Coturnix japonica: one gene and its partners. The protein of the gene in region 2 purifies or fractionates together with the protein of the main gene of each other region. This does not show direct contact. Links are inferred from orthologs where the notes say so. Each region holds a gene or a part of one and is shown on either strand. Other genes may lie near its edges.

The links.
Region 1: the proteins of CTTNBP2NL (region 2) and STRN purify together in Homo sapiens (affinity purification with mass spectrometry; 5 studies listed by BioGRID and IntAct, with this or other methods). This does not show direct contact. The link is inferred for Coturnix japonica from reciprocal best matches to the Homo sapiens genes CTTNBP2NL and STRN.
Region 3: the proteins of CTTNBP2NL (region 2) and STK26 purify together in Homo sapiens (affinity purification with mass spectrometry; 4 studies listed by BioGRID and IntAct, with this or other methods). This does not show direct contact. The link is inferred for Coturnix japonica from reciprocal best matches to the Homo sapiens genes CTTNBP2NL and STK26.

The regions. Positions count from the first base shown.
Region 1 is NC_029518.1:28,891,476-28,895,127, reverse strand, and holds part of STRN (striatin), read right to left. Parts: coding exon 3,569-3,652; intron 821-3,568; coding exon 680-820; intron 1-679. UniProt on the Homo sapiens protein: Calmodulin-binding scaffolding protein which is the center of the striatin-interacting phosphatase and kinase (STRIPAK) complexes.
Region 2 is NC_029541.1:3,554,792-3,558,443, reverse strand, and holds part of CTTNBP2NL (CTTNBP2 N-terminal-like protein), read right to left. Parts: intron 3,352-3,652; coding exon 3,121-3,351; intron 1,346-3,120; coding exon 1,238-1,345; intron 501-1,237; coding exon 1-500. UniProt on the Homo sapiens protein: Regulates lamellipodial actin dynamics in a CTTN-dependent manner. Associates with core striatin-interacting phosphatase and kinase (STRIPAK) complex to form CTTNBP2NL-STRIPAK complexes.
Region 3 is NC_029519.1:3,361,115-3,364,766, reverse strand, and holds part of STK26 (serine/threonine-protein kinase 26), read right to left. Parts: intron 3,284-3,652; coding exon 3,175-3,283; intron 3,081-3,174; coding exon 2,923-3,080; intron 1,443-2,922; coding exon 1,257-1,442; intron 621-1,256; coding exon 472-620; intron 1-471. UniProt on the Homo sapiens protein: Serine/threonine-protein kinase that acts as a mediator of cell growth. Modulates apoptosis. In association with STK24 negatively regulates Golgi reorientation in polarized cell migration upon RHO activation.

The DNA of each region.
Region 1 (3,652 bases), on a different chromosome or scaffold from region 2:
AATAGCATTCACTAACATAAAAGTTTTAGCTGAAAAAAAAACTATCAAAGTTTTAAAAAAGACTGAACATTTCTATAGATTTCAGGTTTCCATTTTGACTCACACATGAAGTCTCATGCTTTAGCTCATTTTGGCCCCTCTCTTAATGATGGGGAACACTGCCATGATCCAAAGCATTATGAAGGAGCTTGTGAGCTCTGCTCATTTTCTTCAGTGAAGACTTCAAACAAAGCCTAACAGAAAATGAGCCAGTACTGCTAATGAAAAAGGTAGAACTTGCCCTATACTTTCACAAATTTGTCACAACTTACACTTGAGATTTGTCTGATATTATCTCTAATTTGCAATTCTGGACTAAAGAGAAAATGGAAAATCCTGATTAAAAAAAACTTTGGAAATTTTGTTCTTGTCCTTCTACCACTGTTCCTTAAGGAATAAATTACAGTATCTGCAGCTCTTCTACCTTCTTTCAAAGCTATGTTTGCTCTTCTACTAAAGAGCTTCTTGCTCTATTATAATAATAACAATTTACTCCTACATCTTAAAACATAATGTTTAACATAATACATGATGCAAGTTACTAGGATACACCGTTTGCCTAATTGCTTGGAAACACTGAAAAGACTATTAACAGTATTTGATCTCCATCAAGCAATTTTTTTCTGTATTGAATACATACTATTATCTACTCCAGACTCCAGGGTAAGAATTCGTTGCCGTGTCTCCATGTTAAAAATGCTAGTGTGTCCAGTGTTAAAGGATGCTACCATGAGGCTTGGGTCACTGCTCACAAGATCAACTGAGGAGGGGATTCCCATTTCTAGAAAACAATGCAGAGAACATTTTCATAAGCAGCAGACTGTGTAAAAAAAAATAGGAAAAGAACACCATGTACTCTGATATTTAAAGAGTCATGATCATGAAATGTTACATTTTAAAATCTACATTATGACAATCCAAATTGATGGTCTTGAGTGATCACCACTTTAAACCTATTTTTCTGATATGCATTTCAACATTCTTTATTGAGATGTTCTATCTGGAACTGAGGCTGGACTGAAATCTAATTTGAATCATGTTGGAAAGTAAGAACCTCACAAGCTCCACCTGCCCTGCCCCTCTTCTTTCTTTAAGTGCAAGAAAAAAATTCAGCCAAACCTTCAGTGCGGGGACATAATATCAAAACGGCAAAATCATTTACATGACAGATGATTTTAAGTTGCTACTAAACTGGACAACTTCAGAGCTTAAAAAAAACCCCAAAGCTTTCCAAATGTAAATTTTACATGCTGAAACTATCAGCATGGAAAGTTACGTAAGTACATTAAAAACCTCACATTACATAACTTTTTCTGTCCTGCCTATTATATATCAGATGACTTTACACACTGGCTATTACAACTCTACAGGACAGAAAGCCAGATCAGCAGAGTTTGAGTACGAGAAACATCCCATAAAATTTCTGTCCTCAAATGTACTTTTCCCTGCCAACTAGATGAAAGAACAACACCTTCTCCAACAGATGTCAGGAGCAGGAGGAGGAAGAGGTAAAATCATAGAATGGTTTGGGTTGAAAGGGACCATAAATACAATCCAGTCCCAGCCCCACTCCTAGGGGCAGGGACATCATCTAATAGATCAAGTTGCCCAGGGACCCAGCCAACCTGGCCTTGATGAGACATCCATAGCTTCTCCAGTCATCCTGTTTCAGAGCCTCACCACTATCACAATCATTTCTTCCTTACACCTAACATGTATCTATACCCTTGTCCCATCTCTACACTCCCTGGTAAATAGATCCTCTCTCCAGCTTTCCTGTAGGCCCCCTTTAGGAAAAGGAAGGCTGCTATAAGGTCTCCCTCCAAAGCCCTCCCTTTTTCAGGCTGAATAACTCTGACCATTTCAGCCTGCCTTTATAGGAAAGCTGCTCCACAGCCCTCTGATCATTCTTGTAGATGATCCAACAGATCCATGCCCTTCTCAGTGCTGGGGGCCAAAGTGCTGAATGCAGTACTGTGAATGGAATCTCACAAGAGCAGAGTGGAAAGGGACAGTCACCTCCCACATCCTGCTGGTCCTCTTTTGATGCAGCCCAGGATACAGTTCTTCTGTATACTTCTGTGTTGCAAGGTACAGCACCTTGCATTTGCCCCTGTTGAACTTTATGAGGTTCATACTGTCCTTCCTTTCAAGTCTGTCCAGGTCTTTCCAGATAGTATCCCTTCCTTACCTCCTGCATATCAACCGCACTACACAGCTTGCTGTCATCAGCAATCCTGGCGAAGATGCACTCAATCCAACTGTCCACATCACAGACAAAGATGTCTATTAGCACTGGTCCCAGTGCTTACCTCTGAAGAACACCACTCATCACCAGTCTCCACTTAGACATCACACTGTTGACTAGAACAATCCAGCCAATTCCTTATCCATTGAGTGATCCAGTTATCAAGTCCATGTGTCTCCAATTTAGAGACAAGAATGTTGTGTGGGATGCTATCTAAAAATCCAGGTTGAGTGTGATACTGAATATTAAGTAATCTAATGTCCATGGATCCAGACAAAGCAAGAATACTATCACCACTCTAAAGACTCACGGGAAAAACACCTCACTTGTACACACTAGTTGTGTACTCAGGAATGTTGTAAAGTATCTATGGATACCACAGTAAAGTCAACCACAGATTAACCATGACTCTGATAGAACCCTGCTGACCTTTGGAAACACAGCTCTGCCAAAATGAAACTACATGAAACGTTTATATTTTGCTTCAGCTATTTAACAAACAAGTAATGGAACATCTGATCAACTTTATATCACAATTCAGAAAATCAATTCATTACATTAACATTCATTTTATCTTGAAGTTGTTCTGAAGAACCAAGAAAGAGCCTTGGTTCATGGGTTGCTTTTAGAACTATCAGCTCTAAGTTGATAGTTCTTAAGATGACAATGTCAGTAGCTACCCTAGAGCAATTACTCAAACAGCAACTTCGAGAAGCGAGGCTCTAAATAACAGGATTTTGGAACGCGCATTACATTTCAGTAATTAAACCCTAATGACTAAATTTTTTCAACTAACAGCATTTAGGATGACTAGATTATTGCTTTTTAGTTCATTCAAAAATTCATGAATTCATTGAAAGTAGCAATCTCTGTCAGAAGCACTAGGAACCTCAACTGGAAAGGTGCTAGGATGCTGAGCTGGACCTAAGCACTGGCTATTTCAAACCTCTCTGGGGGTAAGAAAGGGTTTTTTATTCTTGACAAACCAGTTGCAAGGGCCTAATGGAAACTCACTTTGAATTTGAACTATGGAACAGCTACATTATACTCTGGATCCAGCAATATCAGCAAGTAACCTACAACACATAGTTTTTAGGTATGTGTGACTGTCCGCCTGTGTGTATTTATCAATAATGGCTGGTGTCAAAATCCAAAATCTACTGCTCTTCTAAACAATCATAACAGTATAAAATCCAGTAAACAAACAAGAAAGGATTTCTACTCAGTAGTCAAGATTATGGTAGTCTGAACAGTTAAGCTAATGAACTTAAAATTCCATACCTTGATTATCATTAAATACACTGAGAGCTGGAGCAACTTCTGTAGCTTTCCATAAACGTACAGTGCCGTCTGCAGAACAGGACA
Region 2 (3,652 bases):
CATGACACAGACTTGATGGCAGGGCTGTCAGTAGCAACCCCTCTGGACATCACAGAGAGACTTGGCTGTGAAGGCTCAGCAGGACCATGCTCCTGGCAAGCAGCCTCCAGCTCTTTCAGGGCTTTCTTCAACGATTCCACTTCTTCTTTCAGTGCTTTTGTACGGTTCTCTTCCCTGTTCAGCTTGGCTTTCAGCTGCTCTCTTTCGATGTCAAACTCCGAAAGCTGCTTTTCTACTTGTGCTTCCATCTGTAAGCCCCGCTTCCTCTTGGATGCCAGCTCCTCCTCCAGCTTACTCACCTTGCTCTTCTCTTTTTCCAGTTTCAAGCTCAGTTCTGCCGTCTTCTGACTCTCTTCTGCTGCTTTGGCAGTGGCTTTCTTGCACTCTACAACAAGCATGGAGGACAGCTGCTTGTGGCGTGCCCTCTCCTCCTCCAATTGACTCGAGAGTTTCTTCTGTTCTTTCTCAAACTTCTTAACCTGGGATCTTTCAAACTCCAGCTGGAAGAGAGGAGCAAAGAAAGGCTGTATGGGAAGCACAACGCCTCCACAAAGCATAACAACCCAAAAGCAAAAGGGTTTACAACACACGTTGGAAATACTGCCCAGAAAAAGATGGCTATGCCTAAGGTGAATAAAGAAGCCCTTCCCCTGGTGTCTGTGGGACAGCCTTGTACAATAAGGAGCTCTGTTCATGTACATTATGGATTATTACTTACTAGCACATGAAATTCAGTTGGCATTAAGCTACACGCAGCTGGCACGCACTGATCTGAAGCAAATCTTCCTTCCACCCCATCTACTGCTTTGTCAGTTTGCCTTTTAGAAGCATTTAGCCTTTAAAATGCTGATGTGTTATTTATGTTTATTAAAGCCCACAGTGCTTCAGTAACAGAAAATAGCAGCTTAAATATTTATTATAATCTCTCAACAACCCCCTTAGGAGACCTTTCATGATTTATTCTCATTTTTAAGTACTAGAAAGCATCATCACTTGTGAGCAGGGCTCTGGGCTCTTCAGAACTGCACAGATTTTGGTCTGAAGTAAGATTACAAAGCACTCATTTATGAACAGCTTACCAGAAAACTACATCTGTTTTTCCTATTGAAATGATAATAACTCAGAGGGACTCACAAAGGTGTGAGGCTCATGATATTCTTTTGACACTGAGGTGTGATCTGGCCTCAGCAAACCAACTGAAGCTGCATGGAACCACGGGCTGGGCAGTGAGCTGTACCTGCTGGGTGAGTCGTTCCCGTTCCTTCTCCAGCATGTAGGTGACATCATCCCCCTCTGCTGTGTCCTGGGCATGTCGCTGCCTCTCCTCCTCCAGGTCCAGGATCACCTGCCAAGCAAACACTGGTCACCACAGTGCCCTGCTGTGCTCACATGCTGAACAAAACACAGAGACCTGCACCCACACTGCAGTTAGCTTATACAAAAGAGCCACCACTGTGTTATCTGTCACTACTGGCTGCACCTTACCTGTCACCTCCTGTCTGCACCTCTAACAAAGCCAACAGGAGCAGAGCACGTGGCACAACAGGCTGCAATTTGCAGACAGATTGCTCCATTTGAGGGCTGCGGAGCAAAGTTTATTTTAAAGAACATTCATTTCTTCTTCCACTTAAGAATGAGATGAGCTCTTGAAATGAAACCGCTTGCCATAAGGACCCGGTTAAGGAGCTCCTTCAGTTTCTATGCTGATCTAGAACAACTGAAATTCTATTAGCTCAACAAAAAGAAAGCCAAATATGGTGGAGTCTCTTGGGTGAGTTTGCATCACCCTGCAGACCTCCAGGCCTTCCAAAAAACAGCGACCAGGAATTTACAGCAGCTTCTCAGTCTTCCTGCAATTTAGGCTTCCAAACAATGCTTGTATATCTTTCAAGTACACAGGGAACCTTTTTATTAGAGGAAAAGAGGGGGGGGGGGGGGTGAAATCTGATTTTCCTGTGAATATTTAGCTAGATTCTTGTCTGAAAGGTGACACACATCATGCTTCCCATGACTCCCAGCACACCAATGGGCAGTTGAAAGCTCCAGCTGCCAGCACTCAGCACACTGATGGGAAGCCCAGCTGGCAGCTCATATCACTGTGAGTGATTTCTGCATCAGAAATGCTTCACGCTCCTCACAGACTGAAAGAACCTTGCTCTGCCATATCCCCATCAAAACAGTAGCTAAAAATAAGACTTAAATTTGGCACTGTAAAAGCTTACTCTGATGCGAGTAAAAGCAAAATCCCAGCTGCTTCTCAGTATGTAACCCAATGGAACAGGTTGCCCAAGGAGGCTGTGGATGCCCCATCCCTGCAGGCATTCAAGGCCAGGCTGGATGTGGCTCTGGGCAGCCTGGGCTGCTGGTTGGTGACCCTGCACATAGCAGGGGGTTGGAACTGGATGAGCATTGAGGTCCTTTGCAACCCAGGCCATTCTATGTGAAGAGGCTGAGACACAGCACTGCAGTGCAGGTGCTGGAGATAACACCATGTAAACAGAGGGATTTGTGTGTTTGTTTTTTAAGAGCTAAGTAGATAAAAGAAGAAAGTACTTTGTAGTGGGTCTTTGAGTTCTATACACTGTGGCTTTATCCTCCTCTAACAAACTAAGGTGTGCTAGATGGGCAAGCCTATGGGAAGAAGCCTGATTGAACATCACTGATGACAACTCATTCAAGGTACATTCATGTACAAGTGAGTTATTAAAGAGACCAAACAGCATGAAAAGCAGCTTTGGCCACGTCACACTGTGTTAGGAAAGCTCATCTTATAGGAGGCACTCTCCCATAAGTAGGTGGTACCAGATCCTTGATGATCATAGGGAACAGTGATATGTCTGCTCAGAATTCAACCACCCAGCTATTCTCTTACATTTGCAACTACATCTCTTGGTTCTGGGCAAGGTAATTCCTTCTGCATGTCCTCTAATAGAAACCTCAATGTTATCACTACAGTTGCTGAGCCTCCCAGTTGCATCATAGAGTGACAAGTAGCTCACATGAAGGTGCACAGCCCTTTCAGTCACCAAAATCCAAGCATTTCAGTGTTGTTATCGAAACCAACATAACTTCAAAAGGCAGCTATCCACCTCTGTGTAGCTTATTAGAAGCAAAACGTACCTTTCTGTGCCTGCTTTCTGCAGCAGCTAGTTGGGATAACATTCTTTCCTGCATATTCTTGCAGTGTTTCATCACCACCTTCAGGATGGATAAGGGGTTGGAGCACACTGGCTGCTTTTCGCCATGATTCGCCTCTTTCAGGGCCTCAAAATCTCTCTGCAAAGCCATTAATGGATCACTGATGTTGTACTTTCCATAGCGTTCTTCAATGAAGGTGTCCCTGTGCTGGGCCTGTGTATCAAAACAAATTTGCACGTCAATATACTTAAAGCACAAACCCTGCTAAACAAAATAAAAGGAAATTGTTGAGAGTTCACATCCCCCCTTCCCAGGTCATTCTGTGATATCATGATATTGCTGATGAGGGCACTTAGAACAACATCAGCATCACTGCTCACTTCCTCAGCAGGAACATGATGGGCAAACCATTACCAAGCATCAACCATTTCTTACAGGATTGCTTAAGGACAAATTTTAGGTAGGAGAGCTCCATTCTGACTGACAAATACTGCCTTCTCTGCTCTCTTTTCAT
Region 3 (3,652 bases), on a different chromosome or scaffold from region 2:
CTCTAAGGATTATTTCTGTAAGTCTTAAAATAAGAAAAAAGCATGTATTTAAATCTTAGTAAACAATACCTCAGAGACCAAGCTGAATTATTACCAAAGCAAACAGAAGATGCTGCCTCTACCTATAGGACCTTCCATCTCCAATGGCAGGCATCTCACTGAAAACAGTTATCTGATATCCAGAAAAACCAAAGACTTGCAGAAGAAATGTTATGCTACCCAAACTGTGCGAACAGTATTTCCAGTTGTGATTCACTACTTTTTGTATAACCGCTAGCCTCAGAGTAGGAAACACACAGCACTTAAGCAGAACTGAAAATGAGTTCAGAGGTTAAAAAAAGTTTAGAGAACCAGCACATAGCCTGACTTAAGCATTAACCTTTAGCTTCAAACAGTTTTCTTTAAAGAAGCCAATGCAAAACACAGAGAACAAAGCTAGATGGAGAGATTAAATTGTGAAAATTAACTTACGAATCAGAACCATCGGAATCGCTTTCGTCACTACTATGTCCCTCTGCTTTCCATCTCTTGAACCTATCAATTAGTTCTGTCAGGTATGAAGTCTTCTTGGCATTTTTCATAATGAATTTGTGCTTCAGGAGTTCTTTTGCTGTAGGGCGCTGTGGAAAAAAACCCAAACCACTGGAATATTTAATGTTACGCTAGCATTTTGTGACTATAAATGTTAGTGGGGAAGATGCGGCACAACAACAGACTCTCGGTCCTAACTTATACAGCATCAGGAAATTAGTAGAAACAGGAAGTCAAAAAAAGCCAGTAATCCACATTTACAAGCACTCTAAAAATATGATCAAGTCACACAGACTATATTGCTTACTCTCCTATGCTAGAAAGTACACACCCAGGAAAATGACTAATCAAGTTTCTCCAATGCATTTCCTTGTAAGCAGCATTCAGACAGAAAACAAAAGTTCTACCAGGGAAGAGATCGAGGATTCCTCTGTGAGGTTTCTCTTCTGACATTATCCTAGCTTTGCATCCATTTCTGGGAGCTGCCTCTGCCATCACTTCCTTTGTTATTCCTCCTCCTTCCATTACTTTAAACAAAAGAGGCTTGGGTGGAGAGAACTACTAAAAAGCACTGTTGCTATTTGCAGTCAAAATTAGCCTCTAAAATTATTTTAGTCAACTCTGATGCACTACATCAGCAAAAGACTTCACAAGCATGCATTAAAAATAGAGACGTGAGCATCTCTACACACATTACAAACATACACACACACTTATCTACTCACAAACGTTGGATCCTTATTCAGACACGCATCGATGAATTCTTTAAAAGGTTTACTGAATTCTCCTAATAAAGTTGGAGGATTGTTTTTTGGAATGAGAAACAGAACTCTCATTGGATGCATATCGGAGTTGGGTGGCTCCCCCTTGGCTAATTCAATAGCAGTGATTCCCAATGACCAGATGTCAGCCTGAGAAACAGAAAAAATACTTTCAGTACAAAGCTGAATGCCATCACAACACTGTATTTAGTAACCGAAATCTGCATCAATATAATAGAATCAGTTTTAGTACCAGTAGATAAACACACAAGGACTGTTTTTATACCCCAAGGCTATTACTCCTGAAGGCACATAAGTGATTTAATCAGTCTTTAATAACTTTGACTAATGAATACAGCATCATGTTGTTGCTAAATTCATAAGGTTGTTAGGGAAGAAAGCTAGGAAATGACCAGCAACTCCAATTAGACCTGAAACATCAAGTTGGAAGCACAAGTTCCTAAAGAATCATGAAGTGATACTGATTCTACCTAAAAGATGAATTTTATTAATGTCTTACAAGCTATGAAATCTTTCAGTGTAAAGACTTCTCCCAAGTGAAACATACATTCTTTGCACTATTTTTAGATGAGTTACGAGTGCTATTAAAAATCACTCTGAGCATTTCTCATTAAAAACTGCCTAAGAATGATTTAACTACACTTGGCAAAGCTTTAACCCAAAGCTGCCCACGTAATAAAGTGTTACAAGTTGCATCTCTACAATATTCCTTTCCTCTTTACAAGAAGAACTAAAATAACTATAAATCTATAAATACTGAAGACTTAAACTACCTCATTGTTTGTTACTGAAATAGCATAACTAACAACTGTAGACTAGAAATCAGTGTATTCTGTCCTAATACCTTCATCTGTTGTACCCAAAGGCTTAGAAAGAAAGGGGAAAGGGTACAGCTCGTGCAACAACATTGAAGAGACAAGGAAGACAAGGTTGCTGCAGAATGTAAATGAATGGGTGGTACAGCTGACACAGGAAAACCTGGAGATGAATTATTTAAACTTGGATTGGAGAACATACTTTTAAAACAAGGTAGAATGCTTTCCCAAAATGCCACAGAATGAGAATTCCAGTTGTAATGCTGAAACCCTACACATGAAAACTACAGCTGAATGTACAAACTCCTTACTATCATCCCTGATCTGGCTCTGGGAAAGACCTCTGTGGATCTTTAAAACATCTCAGATACTGAGCAGGTTTTTTTTTTATTAAGTATAGTTACAGACTTACTATCTAAGAAAAACAGTACAAAAGGTACTTCGTATGTGCCAAGAAGTTTAGCTTTCTGGATGCATGTAAAGTGTGGAAAATCTAATGCCAGCACTAAAATACACTGTCATTTCACTCACCCTATGCTCTATAGTACCCGGTGGGCATACACACAAGAGAAAAGGGACTACTCCCTCCTTATCATCACTTTTTAATCAGCAGCTCTAAACTCTCAGAAAAAACAAAGCAAGGGAACAGGGGTGGTGTTTTCTACTATAGTTATAAGCAGTAGATTTTTGTAATTTAAAATCAATTTTATTTTTTTTATAGAATTAGAAAGACAAAAAACAAAGCCATTTATGTTAGATCAGCAGATAGAGAGATCCTCTACATTCATACTTACTTTGGAATCGTATGCTGACTGCTGAATAACTTCAGGGGCCATCCAAAACGGAGTTCCAACAAAGGTATTCCTCTTAATTTGTGTGTCTGTCAACTGCCCAGCAACTCCAAAATCAGCAAGCTTAACGTCACCTTGCTCTGATAACAAGACGTTGGCAGCTGCCAAGGGGCAATAACACAACGTTAAGTCAGAATGCTGTTCTTACTTTTAAGGACTTTAAAAAAAAAAAAAAGAGATGCATTTGAAGTGAACCTTTTATATCCCTGTGAATCTTCTTCTCTGAGTGCAGGTAGTCAAGACCTTTCAGGATTTCCTTTAGCATAGTAGCTATCTGGAACTCATCGAAAGGGCCAGCACGAAGCTTTAGAGAAAACACACAGGAAAATAATTCTAGTCATATCTAATTTCTGGCCTTATTATTGATTTAAATAAATCTTAAACTTGAAAGAGTTTAAATTTAAAGATATTACAGAATCCATAATGTGAAGATTCAATTAAGTAGCTTAATATCCTATCAGGAAAAAGATGTCATTAGAATAACCATCTTCACACCTCCTCTACGGATAATACATTACAAATTCCATTACTTTGCTATACAGTACACGCTCCCCTCAGCATGCAGCACATAAGAAAAGCTAGAAATTCCCAATAAGTTTTATGCTCTTATCAAACCCAGCAGACCCAATACTGCATTTAAAATGAGTGCTTTAAGAAACTATTTCAATAAGAC